Drosophila melanogaster: one gene and its partners. The gene in region 1 interacts genetically with each later gene. Each region holds a gene or a part of one and is shown on either strand. Other genes may lie near its edges. The genes, in order: Khc, para, BicD and pk.

Evidence for each region.
Region 2: of Khc (region 1) and para, changing one enhances a phenotype caused by changing the other (phenotypic enhancement), as found in Drosophila melanogaster (one study listed by BioGRID).
Region 3: of Khc (region 1) and BicD, changing one enhances a phenotype caused by changing the other (phenotypic enhancement), as found in Drosophila melanogaster (one study listed by BioGRID).
Region 4: of Khc (region 1) and pk, changing one suppresses a phenotype caused by changing the other (phenotypic suppression), as found in Drosophila melanogaster (one study listed by BioGRID).

What each region holds. Positions count from the first base shown.
Region 1 is NT_033778.4:16,266,439-16,273,967, forward strand, and holds Khc (kinesin heavy chain), read right to left. Parts: upstream 5,534-7,529; 5' UTR 5,048-5,533; coding exon 4,901-5,047; intron 3,816-4,900; coding exon 3,356-3,815; intron 3,218-3,355; coding exon 1,338-3,217; intron 1,267-1,337; coding exon 826-1,266; 3' UTR 522-825; downstream 1-521. Other genes in the region: csul (capsuleen), read left to right, coding at 1-215, 281-436; CG33017 (uncharacterized protein), read left to right, coding at 5,874-6,203, 6,267-7,529. UniProt on the Drosophila melanogaster protein: Kinesin is a microtubule-associated force-producing protein that may play a role in organelle transport. Milt and Miro form an essential protein complex that links Khc to mitochondria for light chain-independent, anterograde transport of mitochondria.
Region 2 is NC_004354.4:16,524,379-16,529,077, reverse strand, and holds the start of para (paralytic), read left to right. Parts: upstream 1-1,663; 5' UTR 1,664-1,801; intron 1,802-3,662; exon of another isoform or gene 3,663-3,856; coding exon of another isoform or gene 3,857-4,699. Other genes in the region: Cnx14D (calnexin 14D), read left to right, coding at 3,857-4,699. UniProt on the Drosophila melanogaster protein: Mediates the voltage-dependent sodium ion permeability of excitable membranes.
Region 3 is NT_033779.5:17,470,190-17,474,830, reverse strand, and holds the start of BicD (bicaudal D), read left to right. Parts: upstream 1-1,615; 5' UTR 1,616-2,506; coding exon 2,507-2,734; intron 2,735-2,978; exon of another isoform or gene 2,979-3,228; intron 3,229-4,641. Other genes in the region: Sgt (small glutamine-rich tetratricopeptide containing protein), read right to left, coding at 248-1,243. UniProt on the Drosophila melanogaster protein: This protein is essential for differentiation. It may play a role in localizing of Nanos (a maternal determinant) activity in oocytes. Functions redundantly with BicDR.
Region 4 is NT_033778.4:7,185,490-7,190,244, reverse strand, and holds the start of pk (prickle), read right to left. Parts: upstream 3,013-4,755; 5' UTR 2,632-3,012; intron 1-2,631. UniProt on the Drosophila melanogaster protein: Acts in a planar cell polarity (PCP) complex; polarization along the apical/basal axis of epithelial cells. Correct expression of the alternative isoforms is required for PCP signaling in imaginal disks.

The DNA of each region.
Region 1 (7,529 bases):
CGCAGGCTCTGTTTGAATTCGTACATCCTAATCGAGCGGAAAATATTGACAATACTCGCTGCAAGACGGTTTCATTTAAAGTCAATAAAGATTGCGTGCTGCACGGAATCGGCGGATACTTTGATACCCATTTGTACAAGGACATCTGCCTAAGCATCAATCCTCTGACCCATACGCCTGGCATGTTCTCCTGGTTCCCCATGTTCTTCGCAACGGTACGTGTGATGTGATTAGTTAGCCTTTGATAACTGCTACATTAATATATATTTTTACTACTCAGCGTCCAAGAACTCTGAGGGAGGGACAGACTATATCCATCCAGTTTTGGCGATGCGTGGATGCAACCAAAGTGTGGTACGAATGGCAGGTGGTCAATTCTCCAGACGATTGGGAGCACCATAACACACGCGGGACAGGTTACAACATGCGATTGTAACAGCAGACGATGTAATAACAACCAATAGCCAAATAATCGGCATAATTTTTTTGAACTGCAATAAGAATCAAACTAAAGAGACCTTAATTTGTCTGCGACTTTTATTTAGGTTTATGTTTGAAAAGTTTATAAATACTCTTAACGTATATAGATGTCCTTACATATCTGTGGGTTTTATTATTTTCGGTTTGTAAAATTTAGTTAATTTCCGGTTTCCTTTCATTTATTTAATTAAATTATATGTATGTATATTTAAAGCGCTGCACATGATCGCGACACATCTCATCTAAGCGAAGGCAATTATCAGTTATGTTAAGTATGTATAACGTAATCCATTTAGTTTAGTTTAAAGCGGAGCTGAACTGGGCGGCGACAGGTGGTGATTGGATCTACGAGTTGACAGGATTAACCTGGGCCAGCGGGGATGGTCCTCCAACGGCGCCACCACCACGAATGGCGATTGCACCCTGGCCGGACCGGATCGGCTTGGCGATCTGTGCCTGTGGGCCACGTCTGCCCAGATGCTTCTGTCGCACCGCCTCCTTGATGCGGTCCACCTCGTATTGGTAGCGCTTGCGATCCCGCATTGCGCCCTCCTTCGCCTCCTTGAGCGCTGTCTCCAGAGCTTTCACCCGCTCCATGGTACAGCGTAGACGCTTCTCCAGCTTGGGCAGCTCGCACCGCAGATCGGCGTTGTCCCGCACCAATTGCTTGTGCACCTTGGTCAGCTGGTCGAGGTTGTTCTCCAAGAAGGAAATCTTCTGTTTCTGCGCGAGTGATCCACCGTCCTCCTCGCTCTCCTCGTTTACGACATTCTTTCGGATTCGTTGCTGTTGGCACAAGGGAAATACATTTTAAGATCTGTACGTAGCAATAATAGATAGGATTGCTTAAACTTTACCTGTAGATCCTGAACGAAAAGTTTTCGCAGGTTGTGTAGCGTCTGCAACTCCTTGGCCACCGTGTCCTCCAGGCCCTTGAGGTCTTTGCGCGCTTGCTCCCGACGCTCGTTGGTGAGGATGATGTTCTGAAGCTCGCTGGACTTCTCGGCATCCTCCTGGCGCACCTTCTCGTAGTCGGCCGTCATCTGTTGGTGCGCCAAGAGCAGCTTTTGATGGACATCCTTCATCTCGTCCATTTCGTGCTGCTTGGCGGCAATCTCATCCCGGAGCTCGGACACCTGCCGGGTGTGGGCTTCGCGTAGCTCGTCCATCTGAGAATCGAACATGGAGCGCAGCTCCTCAGCCCGCTGTTTCTCCTCGGCGTTAACGGCGGAAACGTGCTCGGCGGCCTTGAGCTTGGCGCATTCCTCGCGCAGCGAATCGATTTGTTCCTCGAGCGTGCGCTTCTTGTTCTCTGCCTCCCGCATCGACTCCTGCAGCGACTTCATGCGTGCCTCGTGCTGCGAAATGAGTAGCCGGTACTCGCCCAGATCTTTCTCATATTCGGAGATCTTCTTGTTGGAGTCAGCCTGCTGTGTTTCCATGTTGGAGCATCGCTGGGCAATGTTCTTGGCCTCCGTCTTCATCTTGCTGATAAACAAACGCGCCATGGTGAAATCTTCCTCCACCTTGCTGGCATCCGTGCCAGCCAGAGCACTCATCTTGAGGTCAATGCTGGACTCGCCGGGGGCAATGGCCTGGCCCACTTCGCCAAGGTCGCGCAGTAGGTTGGTTAGCATTTCCGTGATGCGCTTCTTCTGGTGTGAGGACATGTCCTTGAGCTGCTGTAGCTCTGTGGAGGCGGCGTTGAACACAGACTGCTTCTGCTGCAGCTCCTCGTTGAGGGCATCGATATCCTTGTTCTTGTTATCGATCTCCTGGGATTTCTGGTCGTAGTTTACAGCCAGCTCTTCGAGAGCTTGGAGCACCTCCTTAACCTCTTCCTTGGCGGACTCGTTCTCCTGTTGGATTCGCGCCATCTCCGACTGCAAAGTCTCATACTCACGCCGAGCGTTAGCGATGAGTTCCTCCTGCTCCATCACCTGCTCCTTGAGCTGCTCGGCGTACTGGCTCTGCTGATTGATCTCCTCATCCTTGTCGTCCAGCTGCTGGTAGAGACGCTCGCACTCTGTAGCCAGCCTGGCCTGCTCGTTCACGGCAACCGATGCGGACATATTGGCGAGAGCCGTTCGCTGGGCGGCCAAAGCGGCCTCGGCCGCCGCCGTCTGTGCTGCCTCCACTTCCAGGTTGGGCGTGCTTGCCTCCATGAGATCCTCCATGTTGATTTGCTCCTCCGCCTTAACAGTTTCACCCGCTCTCCAGCGCGCAAGCTCGATCTCCAGCTTCTCCACCTTACCCTTTAGTCGGGCGTTCTTTTCCTTCTCCTTTTCATAGCGTCGCTTCCATTCCTCGGCAGTAAGCTCCTCGTTAACGCAGACCACGTTCTTCACTGTCTTGGCTCTACGACCGAAGTCCAGCGTTGACTTCGTTTCAGATTCGTTGAAACTGGCTGGAGAGCAGCAGATGACGATGGTTGTGCGTGCATTGCCTCCCAGCGACTCCTGCAGGATGCGCGTGAGCTTGGAATCACGGTAGGGGATGTGCGTTTTGTTTCCGTCCGCCAGGGCTGAAATTACGTTGCCCAAGGCCGACAGCGACTTGTTGATGTTCTTGGCTTCATCAAGAACGGTTCCCTCCGCTCCAGTCTTGGAAACCTTCTCGGAACCGGCCAAATCCACCAGGTAGAGTTTGCCGGATAGTTTCTTCTGGTTCTCCAGGTTCTCCTGCTTCACATTGATAAGGAATACTGAGTGGGATCGCGAAGAATGCTCGTTCATGTCTGAAAGGATGGATAAATCGTTATAAAAGATGATCTGGTACATGAAACACTACAATCGAGGTCAGAGCGAATGCTGGAATAACTCCTAGACTTGTTTGGCTGAAATGGTCCTGACCATCGATTTTAATTAGTACTCACTTGTCACAGCGATGTGACGATTGGATTTGCCCTCCTCGATCACCTCGAAAACATCCTCCGGCGACGAGACGAACCGTTCCGTAGCGCCCTTGACGTACGGCACCCGGTTCTTGTCCTCGTGCACGCTTAAGTTCACCTTGGAGACGTCCAACAGATCTCGAATCTTGTCCATGTAGATCTCGTAGTAGGAGACCTTGATGTGAAACTCCAGGTTCACCTCCATCGCGTAGATGTGATTGAAAATGTCGTTGACGATACGTGGTATGATACCCTGTTTTACGGAGTCCCCGATCACGCCCTCCATCGTATGCGTTTTTCCGGAGGACGTCTGACCATATGCGAATATCGTTCCATTGTACCCGGCCAGGACATCCGTAACAATGGACTTGGCCGCCTCATTGTAGACCTTCTCCTGGGATGCATTCGGTTTGAAGACCTTGTCGAACAAATACACCTTGCCCTGCAGACGATGGAGATTAGGTTTAGTATAATGTGTTTTTTTCTTTAGTACATAGCAGCCAGTTACATTAGCTATAAACTGGTGTCAGTTGCGGTGAAATTTCTTTCGGAGATTCATTCCCCCTGTCCCCGATCTTTTCCCGCTGACTGCCTTTGAATCATTTTCAACGCATGGCCGCGAAGCAGATTGTAATTATGAGCATTAAGACATGTTAAGTGGAAGGGGGAAGAATAGTGAATAACGAGCGCCAGAAGAAAGCCACAGCGAAAGAGAGATAGATAGAGTTAGTCAGAGAGAGAGAGAGAGCGTAATGATAATGTCTGTGTATGGAGGCACTATATTAGTGCTGACTTTTTTGGAACTGGTTCAATTGCCCAAGCTTTACCAGGAATATGACGGATTACACCTGGCGGAAAAGCGGGAAATTCAGCATAGCATACAAAGCAATAACATTTCATGTGGCATAAAAGCAATACAGCCAAATTCCATTGCCTCCAAAGTTGCTCTTATTGTTTTTCCTCATATTTTTTTTTTTTGTATGCTTTGCGTGCATGACTCATTGGCGCGCGGACAGGGGAGTGGAAGTGGAGCGGGGGCTACCGTCAATGTGTGTATGTGTTTGTGTGGAAATGTAAGTGAGGTAAGCACTGAAGGCGGACTGGAAACTAGAAAAGCGCATATTTATGCGGCCCAAAAGAATGGAACACCCGCTTTTAGCAGAAAACCGTCTAGTGGGTGGCATTTCTCCACCCCGTCATCGCGCTTCTTTCGATTTACACACCCTATTCTTTTTCGACTGGGGGAAAATCAATTTGGTGCAAAGCAATATTGATTTGGAGTAAAGTTAGTTGGTTTCATCATATACATGTATATGTACATCTAGTTTTGTTTTGTGCAATTATTCATGGGTAACTTTAGTGCCTCTCTCTTTTTATCGCCTGGCATTCCAATTGGTCGGCAATTTTGGGGAAGGGTAATGTACGCTAATAGGCATGACGTCATGGCGCGGCACGCCGAGATTAATGCATAACACATAGGGAAAAGGCACTGGGGGCTGGCGAAAACTATAGATCTGGAACACATACCGCTATGGATATGCAGTTCTCCTCCACATTGTTGGGGAACTTGACCACGAACTTGGAGCCGGCCTTCTCTTCGCTGTCGTTCAGCGGTCGGAATCGGCAGACCACTTTGATGCTGTCCTCGGCGGGAATCTCTCGTTCCGCGGACATTGCTTACAGGGCGGAGATAGATCTTTCTGGCGGAGATTGTTGGATTTCTGCAGCTCTGGGCGCGACCTCTGCGCATGCAGCTCACTGTTTACGTGGATAATCAACGGACTCGCTATCGTCCGCACTATCTGCTGTTCACTGTTTGCTTGTGCCGATTCTGGTACTCCGTTTGGCCCCTTTTGTTCCGATTCTCTGCTGATTCCGACACACTCGCGAAAATTGGGTTGGGGGCGGCTCAAATAAGAAGATGCAGTGAAAATTTTGTGGTTATACCAGACACAAAAGTTGAATTGGTCAAATGGCGATAACGCTGGAGCGCAACCTCGATTCTGACTGCTCCGCGTCGTACTGTTTTGCACTTTTTTGCCCGGAATGATTAAGTGCAGCCGCTAAATGCACTCGCATACGTTAGTAGGTCGGAATTAGTTGCACTCAAAACTATTTTATTATTCGACTATTATTTTCGCTACTGTGCGCCAGTGTGACCGTTCTGCTCGCCCAGCTAAATACCAATCGCCATTTAATTGCACAATAATACTGAATTAATACTCTCAAAAGCTTCGAATGTATGAGACACCCTGCAGATCTTGAAAATGGTAACGGCATATAATATTCCTAATTAAGCGATACCGTTTAAAAATCATTCAAAAATTATTCAAAATTGCTTGTTTATTGTCACTTTTGTTTTTCCTGTCCAAATATTTCGGCTTGGGCGCAATATATAGCTCCAAACTAGGCATACAACCTCTGTAGGTTCAATAGGAAAACGCTATGGAAGATTGATCACCGAGTCGCTGGAAAGGATTGTGGAGAACAGAGGGGCACGATGGCACAGAAGGATATTACGTCGTATTTGAATTTGGAGCGATTGAAGAAGACGCAGAAGCTCATCCGACTTTATCGATCGAACGAGTGCCTCTGGAATCCAAAGTCACCTGGTTTCCATAGTGGTTCTGCGAAGGATGACGCCTGGCGACAAATCACCCGGCGGATGAACTGCGGCCTGACTCCTGACCAGGTGGAGCTGCAGGTGCTCGGTCTGCGGCACTACTACTCCAAGGAATTGGCCGCCATCCGAAATAGTCAAATTGAGGGTTATAGTTATAGTCCAAGGTACTCCTACTTCGAGGACTTGCATTTCTTGGGAAACTTGGAGGTGAGTGGATGGTTTTTGCACTGGATATTGAATAGTGAACCATTATCTTCTATTTTTACACAGGAGGAAGCTAACTGTCCCATTAAGGAAGGACATTTCCCACCCAATTTTTCGGAGGACACATTCATATCGCCTCTAGCTTTTTTAAGTCCCAGCTGCAGTGAAACCAGGTGCGGGTACACCTTCTACAAGATGATTCTAGAGCCTGAGCCACCAAATGAAGAGTTCTTAGGTGTGCACCATGAAAGATCTACGTCCGGCAATGATCGGTGGTATCCCACTGCGTACTGTGTTCGTTGCAAGCCAGAGGAAGACGAAGATCCTTGTGAAGCGTGCGAGCTAAGAGGTCAAAGCAGTCGTCCTCAATTCGGAAGTAAGAGCTCTTTAGAAGGCGGAGAAAGCGGCAGTACCAACCCAAGGATGTCTAATCGGTATCAGGAACAGGATCAGTCAAATAAATTCCAAAAAAGTGATAGCAAACAGTATCGAACTGGGAAACCATGTTCATGTCCCACGAAAGACAACCCAGAAAAGCGTTCATCGCAAACGCAACAAAATGATGTGTACGTCGGTGCTGACAACTGGGATGGTTACGAGTCCGTCGGCAATGGTATACGCAGCGATAGATGGCCAGGTCCCAGACTATGTTCCCAAAAACGCGGAGAGTGGAAGCCCAGGTTCCGTAAAGTAATCGGCGAGGACAATCAGAAGTCGTGCTGCGACAGCTGGAAGCGAAATAATAATGCCGTGTGCGGGAGACTTCTAGACCAGTTGGCCAAGCAACAGAATCAACCCGGCAGTTACTCCGACGATGGAGACTCCGTTCGGAATCAAAGCTGCGGCTGTACGAAGAATCGCCGCCAGTCAGGCGAGGATCAGTTAAACGTAATGCTGTTGCAGAAGAAGTATAGGGATCGGACTTTGTCGAACAATGCAAACAATCCTACCACCGATCGACACAGCAACACTCAACCGATTTCGGATCAAACTTACTATAACACCAGCCATCCAGTTCCGAACTGTTGTTACTGCACTTATAACCAAGTAAATCAAGACGTTCAGCGCTGCAATATCCATGGATGCCAGTGCATTTACTGCAATCAAACTGTGCCTCCCGCCCACGGTAACTACTACCAACCGCATCATGTCGATCAGAATGCCAGGAACTATTCTCGATCAGCTCCACCAGACGCTCCATATGATGAAACGGTTTACCTGAATGACTACGGACGATCTATGTATCCGGAGCCACAGCATGTGTATTGCATCAATGCGGAGGATGCGCCCACAGATGTGTGGGTACAGGCACAGTCCCCAGATGCCTCT
Region 2 (4,699 bases), on another chromosome or scaffold:
CTGTTGCAATTTTCGGGCAGAGCAGAGCCGTGGAATATCAGCTTGATGACCTAAAAATAGAACAAGTGACCAAAGACAAATAAAAAAATGAGAGTCGGCGATGGCGAATAGTATGTGGCAAATGGCGGAGAATAGCGAAGGGCGAAAGGATAAGCAGCGAAAAACAGGGTGGCAAAGTAGCACAACAAAACCTGTGTTGACAACGACTTGGGTGGTTATATATGGCAAATGCTTTAGGGCGAAAAGGACTTCTCACACACACACAAACACACACACGCGCGAACTGCTTCTGCTCCTTTTCGCGGCAAATTCGGATAAAAGGAAGTCACGGCGAAACGGCGGACAACTGCCTGGTTCGCCCGAAAACGGAGTTACCCAGAGAGGAGGAACTTTTTCAGTGCTCAGTGCTCGACTTTTTTCCGCATCCTTGTGTCCTTTTTCAATACTGCTCTGCGTTTCACGTGCGCGCGAAAATTGCATAAACACAAACAAGCCGCGACTCGCTGCCTCGACATTTTTTTTTACAGTGCATCCAATCCAGTGAGACATTATCCTGCCAATTGAGTGCTCATTTTACGTTTTTTTTTTCGTGTGTCTAAGTGAAAGCCATCAAGTGTGTGAATACAATTTACAAGCCCATTTTAAATATCTATTGAAGAAATATAACAAGTTTAGTAGAAGGAATCAAATAAACTAACGACATAATTCACATAATTGGCACAAGGACAGCAGAAAATCTAACATATAAAAAGAAATAAATATTAAAAAAAATAATTTCAAGCCATTCAAACAATACTAGGGGGTGCTTTTAGTGGGCCATACAAATTATTCGAAATTTTTTCTTCCGATAATATTTTTTTCAATTTTTTTTACATTTCTGTCACCTTTTGTGAATGAGTTTTCCCATCAAATTTTCCAATTTAAGCTGGGTTTCAACAACTTGTTCGCTTTTCCGCAGGCGACGCTGACGAAATTGAAACTAAAACCGAAATAAAATCTGCAAATAATAATAATAATACTATTAGTCATAATACGGAAAACCAATTATAATCATAGCAACAGTTGAGAAACCAAGCCGAGGCAAACTCATTTAAATATCCCAGCCAGGTAGCCAGATACTAGTAGAAATAATACAACAAATAATATTAACATTAACTATAAATAATAAATTGAAACAGCTCTGGGAACAAAACGCAACGTTTGATGAAAATTTCTGGCAACACGTCTTGGTTGTTGTTAAGCACGCAAAAAAATTAAATAAAAAAACCAATTCAAATACCCAATGATAATGCAGATTTAACAAACAAAACCAAAACAAATAAAAGCAAACAAAAATACAAATATAAAAAAAAAACCAAACAAAAAAACCAAAAAACAAAACAAACAACAAATTCATCTTCTACTTGTTCTACCGCTTCAACTTTATTCGTCTTCGTCTCCGTAATATATATATATATATAAAATATACATATATATATATTTATATATATATATATCTATGTATATGTATGCATATGTGTGTGAGTGCGTCGCGTGTGTGTTGGTGCCTGTAAATGTGTGAGCCACAACAACAACAACTACAACAACAGCAGCAGCAGCCAGAGCCACAACCACAACAACAACAACAGTAGTTAACAGCAGCAACAATTCTTAGCAGCAGCAGCAACAACAACAATACAAGCAAGCACGCTCACAACAAAAGCAGCAACAGCAACAACAACCACAATAGCAACTACAGCAACAACAACATCAGCGGATAGAGCGAGCAGCCAGGCACAACATCGATAGACATCGATTAACGGTAGGTAATCGAAGGCAATCGAAAAAATCCATTTAATATGTATTTTATTATCACATTCATTGCACTTTTAATTATGCTAATGATATTTAACCCTAAACAGAGGAAAAAAAATCGTGAAATTTTTTATTTGTTGAGTTTCAACTATTTCCGATACCTTGAATGATTTATTCTTAAGACTAAACGATCTTTCGAGTCTAAAAGAACCACTTTTATGATGAATTCTTACAATTAACACATAGTGGAAATGTATTGAAAATAATTATGTTATCTATGTTAGAGCAAACAGGCTAACAATGTGTTATATTAGAAATTCTCAGCTCTTACTTAACTTACTTCTCAGCTCAAAACAAAGTCATTAATTTACTTTTCATTTTGGTCAAAGAGAACTACATTTTACTGGGTCAATGGTTCAACTTTCATTGAAAGTTTTTAAGAAACCCACATTTGGTATTCCCATCGATTGCAATTTTAATATAGAATACCAAAAAGGGCAATTTACGCTGCACGTCAAATGAGAATTTAGAAAGCAATTGTGTCTTTCGTATGTATTTCAATATTTGAATAGCTAGAAAAGTGTGAACGGAGCAGTGGGCGACTTGATGAACTTGGCTCGATTATGTCATGCCTCCTTGGTGAAAATCCCAGTTAACCAGGCCCGACCTCAAGACCATATCAATGGGGTATCTGCGCCCCTTTTTGTCCCGCCCACTGGCACGCCCCTTTGCTTTTGGGCTACAACCTTTTGCTGGCTTTTGGAGGGCAAACTTTCAGCTGCCACAAAAAAAAAAAAAGAACAGAGCAGAGCAGAGCAGAAAAAAATGAATGATGAAGGTTGAGGGGGGGGGGTGTTTCTAACGGAATTCCTTTGCTCACGCACACATTGAAAGGAGGTTCGTTAAGAGAGAAGGGAACCCAAAAATGTATTGTTGTAGTCCGTGTTTGTTGGCGGCATCACACAGAGAAGTGAGAGCGCAAGAGAGAGGGCACTGGCTCTCTCGGCGCAGGCAGGAGGAGAGTGAGAGTCCTCGCTCTCTCGCCAGCCCATTGCGCTCTCCCATGCAAAATTCATTGACTAACAACATGCTAACTTCGTTCAGTTTTTTGCTGTTTCTGTTTGTTTTTTTTTTTAGTTTTTTAGTCCTTTCCTTGCCATCGAATTTTGTTCAACAATTAATAGGGTAGCAGATATTCTGTGTTATATTGCCAAATCGATACCTTGGGTTGGCTAAGGAAAACGTTTTGCGTTTCGCTCATGTGTTTGTCATGTGTCATTTGCATATTGACACAAATTCCGGCTCGGGTTGTTTTTTATTTCAATTCTTGTTTGCGGTTTTTCGCATGACTCATCGACCCAGCGAATGGCCAAAAATTAATTCGGCAAACAGAATTTTGCGAGTGTCATGAATGGAAACAGACACACATAAATATATGCTCATATTGGCACATCCACTGCCACTCTGTGTGTGTGTGAGAACGCTACCCTATGCTTCATGCCTCCGTGTGTGTGTGAGTGTGGCGAAATATCGAACTGACCTACTTTTATGCTCGATACACACACACACACACACACGCACACACACTGGCGCGCTCACACATACACACACGCAGCCAGATTGGCAAATGGAAAAAGAGTGCTTTGACCTTAGCGGAGGCTGCTTATGTAAGCCCAATATCCGAAGACCGCAGGAACATCCGTAACCGAATCTAGATTCAATTCTCACATTTTCTGTAGTAGCGGTAGAAGGTAGTGTTAGACCGTTTCAAATAAATGAAGTGCTTATAATATTATCTACATTTTAAAAATCATAATCGTATTACCTATTACTAAGCTATCTATGTAAGTCAAATCCAAAATTTATACAAACAAGCAAGCGGCGTCAATAAAGTCATACGCATTAAGGCTCAGTTCAGTCAAGTCAACCACTTTTCACAAAAAATCGTTAAAAATCGTTAATTTCTTCGAACGTCGCTATATTAAAAAAACGCAAGGCTCAATTCAGTCAATCCTTATCTATTCCAACTCTGAGTAAGCGAGCAAGCGAAAAGTGTGTGAAAATGGCTTGGAAAATGCTCTTCGCCATTTTGTTGCTGCTGAGTGCGGCCAAAACCGGCTATTTGGCCCCGGAGTCGGAAAACTCTGTGGAGGATGTGCAGATAGAGCCCGGCGCCATCTATGGCGATGAGAAGTTTGCCTACAAGAGTCCGGTGATCGATGCCGAAAAGTTTTACTTTGCGGATCACTTCGACGACGTGGAGGCATCCCGAAAGAGATGGGTACTGTCGCAGGCCAAGAAGAACGACATCGCCGATGAGATAGCCAAATACGATGGCATCTGGAACTGGGAGTCTCCGCAACGCATCTTTTGGGCAAACGATCTGGGTCTGGTGCTCAAGTCGAAGGCCAAGCATGCGGCCATAGCCGCCCCCTTTCGCCAGCCGTTCGATTTCAAGTCGAACAAGCCGCTGGTGGTGCAGTACGAGCTTACGTTGCAGGAGGGTCAGGACTGTGGCGGCTCGTATCTGAAGCTTTTGTCCGCCGGAAAAGGCACGGAGCAACTAAATCGCTTCAATGACAAGACACCCTATACCATCATGTTTGGTCCGGACAAGTGCGGCAACAATTTGAAAATGCACTTTATATTCCGGCACGTCAATCCATTAAATGGCAACATCACCGAAAAGCACTGCAAAAAGCCAAATGCCCGTTTGGGAGTGCCATTCACGGACAAGCTACCCCATCTCTACCAGCTGGTGGTCCGTCCCGATAACAGCTTTGAGATTCGCTTAGACCACAAGATCATCAAAGAGGGTTCCCTGCTGACCGACTTTGTGCCACCAGTCAACCCACCGGCGGAGATAGATGACCCCAATGACCACAAGCCAGAATCGTGGGATGAG
Region 3 (4,641 bases), on another chromosome or scaffold:
CAACTAGAAAAATATATGAGGCATTATAATATATATATTTAATATTCATTGAAAATTCGATTGGAACAGCGGCAATTTGCACGGTCATTTATTTATTTCCATTGGATAAAAATGTATATGTATGTATGTATGTATGCGTAATAGAAGCCATTTAAACATTATAAATACATTTATAGTTTCAGCTTAACAACTTAATCTGTGTGCCGCCGATCCAGGCAGGGATCGGGGATCGGGATTCTATCCACTTCTAGGTGCTCGGTGGTGGCTGATTGCCCGGCTGCTGTTCATTGCCAGGATTTGCGTTCGAATTGGGAAAGCCAGTCAATTGGCTGGTCATGTTATAGATCATTTGCACCATGTCATTGGGCAGGGTCGGGGCATTGCCGCCGCCGAACTGCTGGCGAATGGTGTTCATGATCATTGGATTCTGAAGCATCGACAGCAGCTGCTCCACGTCGATCTCGGCGTTGTTGAACAAATTCCTAACCATTGGCTGGGACAGCATGTTGATTAGGTCTTCCCTTAATCGCCCCGTTTGGGGCGGCTGGTTCCTGGCGTTTCTGGCCGCTTCCAGGTTGCTCTTGTACACCTCGTTGTCCGGTTCCAGCTCGATGGCCTTGGCGTAGGCCTGTTCCGCCTTCTCGAAATTGCCCATGTTGGAGTACGCCACGCCCAGGCGGCAGTACGCCTTGCTGTAGTTGTTGTTGTACACCAGGGCGGACTTGCAATCGGTTACGGCGCGTTCGTTCTCACCCAGCCGGATGTGGGCCGCAGCCCGATTGCAGTAGAAGATCGGATTCTTGGGATCGAAGGCGATGGCACGATTGTACTGCAGCAGTGCTTCATTGTACTTGTTCTCCTTCATCAGCCGGTTGCCCTCGTTCTTGATGGATTCGGCCAGGGCCAGGGATTCCGGATTGCGTTCTGTATACAGCGACTGGAAGAGCTCGAACATGTCAATGTTATTGGGAACGGCGGCGGCGGCGGCGCCGATACCAGCACTTCCGCTGGCCACCGCATCATCGTCCGGTGCGCTCGCAGTGCTGCTGCTCTGTGTGGTGGCCTGCTCCTCACCAGCCGCAGCCGGCGCTGCCTCCACATCATCGCCCAAGTCAAAGGCCGCCTGCAGGCACTGGATCGCCACCTCGATGCTTTCGGTCTGGTCCGGCGACATCACGTCCCCCTGCTTCTTCAGGTAGTCAATGAAGCTACGCACGAAACTCTGCTGCACTGCGTCCGGCATTTTGGTTATGCTTTAGATTTCTGTTCGCTTAATTTCGATCGACAGACAAGTTGAAAAGTAAATGTGATTAGGCGAAATGTGAATATAAAATCGAGTATCGATGTGCTACATGGCCCGATAACTTTTGAGACATATATCGAACATTCTGATAGTATGGGAAATGCTGACGCTGTTTACAAACTTTGGTTTCAGCTTAAATTATATTTATATTATATATTTTTATATAAAAATAAATCTGTTGCTTCAAGCATTTTAAATAAAATCATACCCTTAGTAGTGGAAACGCGATTATTATTACCAACGCGAGGTTTGGGTCCGAGCTAAGCGCATTCTTAACGCTTTTCTCCACACCTCTCCGCATTATCGAAAGTTTTGCCTGCGGTCGCACTGAAATTCCGTCACAAACATTGCCAAGAATCGACGTGATTGCGGACAAAATTTTGTTTTTGCACTTGCTTGAAAATTTCGACTCCATCGACGACCGCAGCGATTGGGCCTGATATATACCGCATTTAGCCGTCTACGCCGCAATTGTGCAACGGATAACGAGAATACGCGAAGAGCAGTCGTGCGAACGGGGAAAGTGCAGGGAAAATGGGAAAAACTCCCACTTTGCCAGCGAACGAAAGGAAAGGGGAAATTGTGTGATGTCATTTCGGCTGTTTCTTTTCGAGTTAATTGAAACAACTTCCTGCGCTGCGTTTTCAGTTTCTGCTGCCAACTGTTTTATACGCGCCTATGTGTGCGTACGGCAGTGCGCTGGTGTGTGTGTGTGACTTACAGGCATATATAAATATAGTGCAGAATTATTTGCCGTTAAAAGCCCACGGTTAATTGGCCATTAAGCGCTGTTTAATTTACTAATTTAGCGCGGTGAGTGAAGAGAGGAGAAAACCCGCAGCGATACCATTCCACACACACACACACACGTTCGCATTCAAACGGAAAAGAGAAAAGGTGAAACGCACGCACACACACGCAAAAAGCACACCGCGAGTGGAGTTGTGTGAGTGTGGGGTTTCGATAAAAAAAATTATTTTAAAAAAAGCACTGAAGTACAACAAAACAGTGCGGCATATACAAATCGACTTCTATCGATTTCCCTCCAAAACATAAAATTGTATCGAAAAGATTCCGCCCAGGATAGAAGCATCAACAGCAACAACGAGGAGATTCACCTGCCCACGGGCAGCTGTACCGTCCACCAACACCCACACCATCACCCCCTCCCCCGACCACTAAGGACACCATCCATCCATCATCATGTCCAGCGCCAGCAACAACGGCCCATCGGCGGACCAATCCGTGCAAGACCTGCAAATGGAGGTGGAGCGCCTCACGCGCGAACTGGACCAGGTGTCCTCCGCCAGCGCCCAGTCCGCCCAGTACGGACTGTCCCTGCTGGAGGAGAAGTCCGCCCTGCAGCAGAAGTGCGAGGAACTGGAGACGCTCTACGACAACACGCGCCACGAACTGGACATCACACAGGAGGTAAGTTTGCCTACAATTCTTCGCAGTTTTTAAATGCTCCAATGGGTTATATAGTAACCCGCCAATTTGGCCCCCTCTGTTGCTATGTTTTTCGATCTGTTTCCAAGCAGTCGCCGCTTATCGCCCAGCTGGCCCACTCGCGTACTCACACACACCTTGGGGCACACACACCTACATATTTAGACAGAGAAAACCTTTCCACAACGGCCAACAATTTGTCTTGCTGGCAAACTAACTCGCTCACCTGTTGGCCAGTTTGACTCTCTTTCGGCGAGTCTACCTATCGCTCTGCAAAGTCCGTCTGGTCTGGTCTAGCAGAAATAATTGGGATTCGCTCTCTGATCATGAAATCGGAAACTGGCTTGGCCATATGGTCACGTGCTGTTGTTTTGTATACCTTTAAATACAGTGGAACCGCTTGGGTCGATTGAAGATACTATTCAGTCCGCTAAACAAAACAATAAATAAACTAAAAAATGAAAAACACAACTTAACAGCTGAAAGAAAGCCTTTACGACCGCAAAAAGTATTTATGTATGTTTATCATAGATCATAATCGCTAGCCAAGTGTCCTTCTGTCCGTCAGTATAAAGGCCAAAAAAAGCCATGCGATGCCATTATTCTAGTGATCCTAGATGATATGTGTTGTTCAAATCATAAAGCGATCTTTAAAGTTAACACTATAGCATTCTCATTTGATTTGATTGAAAACACTTAAACATTTAAAATGCATTTGGCTGGCAGAATTATTTCATTGTTTCAAAATTATGTTTTCTTTGTTTTTTTATCTTTATCTTGTCTCCACTGATCACGCTCAATTTGGCATAAACATTGTTTTGGCCTATAAAAATTATCTCAGCTTTCAGTTGGCCGATTGCAGCACGGCCAATCTACTCTTGCCATTTCATTTTGCACCTTTATTCAGTGCCCAACTACCTCCACTTCCACATCCAACTCCTCCTTTTCTTCTTACCACCAACCTTCCTTTCCAATTAGTCCTCGTCATCGCCTGGCATTTCCTCTGGAATTTTCACAGGCCGTGGATTGTCGGGCTCTGAACTGCATTACCAGACGGCAGGGAAAAGTTGTGTCCTTTCCTCGGTAAAAATCAAATGGGGGAAGCAGTCTATACTCATTCAGCCGTCTATTATCATTTCGTGCTTTGGCTTTTTCCGACTGGTGTCCCAACAAGCTTCCTTTTTGGTTTGTTTTGCTTGTTGCCAAAAGAAAACGTTGGTTTAGGCCGATTTTGTTGGAGAAGGGTAAATAAAGCATACAGTAAATACAACTGGTTAAATAAAGATCAGAACAATTATACACATGTTTACTGTATTACGCAAATTAACAAAATCATTTGTTATTTTTAGATTTGATTTTGGTGTAAACATATAGTTCATATTCTTTAAGTATCCCCAATTAGCAAACAGTGCAATTAAAGTTCCATTAACCATGGGGCTAACAAAAGTTAGCTGGAATTAAAATCCTACGGGGGCGTTAACACCTGCACACACGCACACACACAATGCAGGCGGTAACACCTTTTTTACAAATGGGCATATGTATGTGCGTAATACGTATATGCGCATGCATTTTTATGCGCTTCGAACAAAAAGCCTGCCAATTAATTGTTGGACAGGTGGCAGTGCACTTGTAACGTAGCTTGATAGTTTCCAGCTTGTTGGATTTGAACTCAACTGAACTTTTACGAGAACACAAATAAAAAAATGAGTGCGAGGCCAAAAGAACCCTCCACCCACACACACACATTTATAATGGATGCTTAAAAATTACAAAAAAAATAATAGCAACGTCGACGACCACGTCACTGCGGGCATTTTCTGTGTCCCCACAAAAGTGTAAAAAAAGGGGTGAGGTTTAAAGGAAGCTATGTGGAGACTGGGCGACAT
Region 4 (4,755 bases), 9.1 Mb from region 1:
GCCCACTTGAGCCGCATTTGCCCGGAAAGTCTCTTTTGAACGGGTTAAAATTGTGTTATCAAGCTATCAAGAACCCCATTCAGCGCCACAGAATCTGACATATATATGGACTTATCACTGCCTACCTAAGTGGTTTAGAAAGCCGCAGACGTGACAACTCATTCAGCGCGGCTGCAACTGTAAAATTTCATAATTTATTATGCAGTCGGATGGGCCTATGCAGCTGGCACATTTTCCGATATTACCATACGAATCCCGCCAGGGAGACAATATAAACAATAAGAGATATGCACCCAATAGCGGTCTTCAGAGCTGGATTCTTTCCGGTTCTGTTTGGCAGTCAGGCGGGATGTCTCACTCGCTAATGGATTAACTTGTTTGTCTATTTTACTGCCAAACTATAATTTGAGCCTCTGAAAGCTACGGCTGGGCCAGGCCGTAATAATTACACAGTTTAGGTCCGCCAGCCAAACTAGTTTGGGCGAAAGCCCGGCGATCTAATGAGCCATTGTCTGGGCCTCATATTTCATTGGGTCGGATAATAATCTCACGCCTGGCTTATCGGTGGAGCGGGGTGCTAAACGTCTTTGTCGCCATCGAAATTGATTGCTCTAAGCAGAAATGGAATTCCTTTTCAAGTTTTTATTGCGCTCACATAAAACCCGATCGCATCTCGAAAATCGTTCGATGTCGTGGAAAACAAAGTGAAATGAAAATCGAGTCGGCACGCCGCCAAAATGGACACCTTGTGGGCGGTAGGCAGTTGGCCGGTCTAATCTGCAGCGCACTCGTGTTAAATGTCAAATCCAATCAAATGGCGTTGAGTGAGAGGAAACGAGCGGGCCGGGCCAGCTAACGTTGCTCCATTTTCCGGGGAACCCGTTCTTATCTGCCTGGAAGATGGTTGGGAAACTAACGCGAGCTGACAGGATGACAGTTCAAATTGGCGTTTGCATACGTCCATCGACGGATCCAATACTTATTTACGACTTCCCGCCTCAAAAGCTCATAACGGGGCCTAATTAATTTACAGACCGAAATTCGCTCGCCAATGATGAATAGCTGGGAAATGGTTCGTTAATTGCGTCTTTAAATGGACGTGAGACATGTGTAATATGCAAATGGTGGGGCACAGACACAGAGATTGACATAACGAAGTTAGGTTGTTGACCCACTCGGACCTTTTGTTATGCTAACAAAACCAAGTCGATAACTGTAAAGTGGCCAATCTATTCCGAGGCGGGAATCTTTAGCTGCTTTGTATCTCAGATAGCCCGACAGCCAGATAGCCAGAGCATCTTGCCTTCATGCTCCGGCAATTGTGGCTAGATGGCTGCGTGCGGAGTAAACTAACCAACAAATTAACACGCCAGTTAGTTAGTTAGTTAGTCAGTTCGAGGCGTCGATTGGGGTTAAGCAGCCGTGGCAGTTGGCCCATAGTGAGGGAGAAAGTTGATGCAGCAGCTCCATAATTGAGCCAACTAGTTGCCGCAACTCGGCCATAAACAACAGTTTTATTTCGAACCGCCGCCGGCCGACGCTACATAATTATGAAGAATTTCTCAATAAAGCCCGGAATCGAAGCCAGCCGCAGTGCGAAAATTGATTTAGTTGGCCGGGCCATAAAAGACCAGAGCGAATTGCAGTGTTCCGTTGGTGCTTTATGGCCACCGTGCCTGGGCTATGTACATACACCGCGGAGGAATGCGCCGCAGAACCACTATCGGTGCGCTTTAAATTCAAATTGGCATGTCAGGCAATTAGAAATCGGAGATAAATTTCAACCCCGGCCCACACACACGTTCAGCTCGAGTCAAATGTCTCTTGTCAATGAGGTGTTCGAAGCCCACACAGACACACACACACACACACGGGACTGAAAAGCAATTGCTAACAAGCCATTGTTGACACATTGCCGCCATGTAAGCCCGTTTCATTACACTTCTGTGGGTGGCAGCTGCTTTGGATCACCAGATCCGTAGATCCTCAGCTTTATCTGCACTATGGCCCACCAAAAACTAATTGGATCAAGCGGCGGAGAAAGCCAAGAGCTGTGCGCGGTAATCAAAATATTTCGGGCTTTGGCAAGTGTTTTTATGGCTAGACGAGTCATGTTTTATGTGCTGGAGCGGGTCGTAAGCCTATTTGGTTATGACTTCATTCCGCGAGGCTGCAGCAAGTTGGTGAAAGTGCGCTGCGAATGGCGATTAAAACTTAACGCATCTAAATAAATCAAGCTGAGCACTTCAGTTGACGTGTAATGTGCATAAGCTTATGAAAGCCATTACACCGACGGGCCGGGCATATCCAAAGTTCGTTGCTCAAGTCTTTCGTTTCCTAAGTATCAGCCACACACCTTGGCTAACAGATTCTCGACCTTCGATAATCCCATAAAAATATTGCGCTAAAGCAGCCGGCCCGACGTCTGTGCCTCGCATATCAATCGGCCTCGAATTTCATTTGATTTTTAATGTAATTTTATTGTCAGTTGTATCTGTATCTGAATACGAATACGAAAGCGTTTGTATCAGTGAAGGAGTTTGAGTTTGAGTATCAGCTGGTATCCGTGTTGTACGAAACGAGCTGCGTTGACAATCATCAGGCGAAAACATGGCTTAAATCACATCTCACTTGCCCGTGTGGCTTATCCCGAGCATTTAGCGTAAATGAGCGCTTAGGCCAATTGTTGCATTAATTCACTTGGCCCCAGGAAGGAACACTATGCCAGACTTATTTAGCTGGCCCTGATAGGGACCACTCTGGATTATGGATTGCACTTCACTTTTGTCAATTTTTTGCAATTGTTGCGAATTCAGTTAGCAGCTTTTTGTGCACTTTGCTCCGATCTGGCTGAAAAACGGTAAACGACAGATCTGGCGCAAGATAACGTGGACCGAAATCGACATAGCCGAAGAGCGCGCGATCGATCGATCGTTCAGACGGATTACGCGACGACTAACCCGCACCTGTTGCCAGATGTAAACCGCTCGCAACTGACGACGCTTTCAGACTGATCGAACCTGCCCAGATGTGGATTTCTGTGTGGTTTGATCTTAGGCTGTGGATCGTGTTCGATGAAGGTAAGGTGTTCGTGGGACTTCTTGCTTTAGTGTTCTTTCAACGAGCTGCCAAAATACTATCACTATTAAGTGTAGTTAACGATAACAAGATAGTTTATAGTAATTTGTTTCCGATTTCGTCGTTAAAATTGTCTAAATTTGTATAAAACGCCAAATATCATAAGCTGCAACTCAATCCGCAACTGCAACATCGAACTTGTTTGATAGCTCCATTGCTTACACTACCATCCCAAAAGTATGCTTCGTTACTACGCATTTTTAGAATCATATACATGTAGATTTGCGCGTAAGATTCTCTGTAGAATCTGAGTTCCTAATATTTCATCGTTTAAGTCTAATGTAGAAATATAAGTTTCTTGTTTCTTTTTGCAAACAATATAGGGTTCTAAAATTCTAGATGCTGAAGTATCTGAAGAACTTTCCAGGACTCTATGGGACAATAATAGGGCTTTTACATAGAATGCCTCGTGTTCATAAATAGTGAATTGCGTAATCTACCTTCCCATGGATGTAAGAATTTAGTAGTTATATATCCAGCCGTATTCTGATGGCAGCGCTGTTCAAATCTTAAATAATTAACTTTAAGTAATAAACACCTTGTAAATTAATGGTGTTTAAAGAGCAATAAACTTAAAATAATTAAGTAAGAAAAAACTGCATGTAGTAATGAAGTGCATCAGAAGAGCTGATTACCACACATACACGAAAGAATACGTACTAAAATGATTTTCATACTTTAACAGTTAAAACACTAGAAGGGTACCCAAAAGAGTTTTTAATATGGTAACCGTGAAATACGATTTGGCCAAACCCTTTTGAGTAATTAAGAGTGGTTTTTATAAATTAGATGTGACCAAAAATATAACATAAGCTACATTTAAAGCCGGTACTTAGTGATGAAATATCTCTTGTCAGAAAGCAAAAATATTTCCCAACCACATTGCAAAGTGGGCTTGAAGTGACAAAAAGTGCGATGTCAACCGTGTTGGCCATCTGACGAGTTCAAGGTTGATTTCCAGCTGACCATGTTAGTTGGTCACCATCATTGCCTGCCGACTGGAGATCATTAGGCCGCACATTAGTGCCATCTCAGCGCAGGCTAATTAGAAGCTGAGTGTGAACGGAAACACTACGTTTCTGCGTGCCGCTTTTTGTTGCACAACCTGGGATGCCTCAATGATGCATGATTTATGGCATTTTGAATTGTGGATCGGCGGCGTGTGAAGCTCCCGAGGGGCCGGGCATCAAAGACCTGTCCAGCAATACGTATACTTATGTAGGTTTCTGCGCTTGGCTTACCTGAAACGAAAATGTAAATCGAAGGCAATTAGCTGAGTCTAATAAGGGCCAAAATAAGATTGAGTATAAGAATGGGGATTATAGTTGGATAGCGTTGACGCTATCAAAAAATCAATTTGGCTAATTGCAAGCATAACGGCCTCATTCGTTGCCACATTTCATCAAACACCATTTGGGAAGGAAACGTCAAAAGAGCAGCCCCAAGGTGCAGACAACTTTTAGACACGCCAAGTCTGGGAGGGAATGGCTGGAGTTTAGGGGGCTGGACGTGGTTCGTTTATTAGCGGAATCGAATGGGCCCCAAAGTGTCATCAAATCAATGCAAGCTAGCTCAAATCGAAGTCGGCTTCCAAACTTTTCCGGCCCACATTTGCGC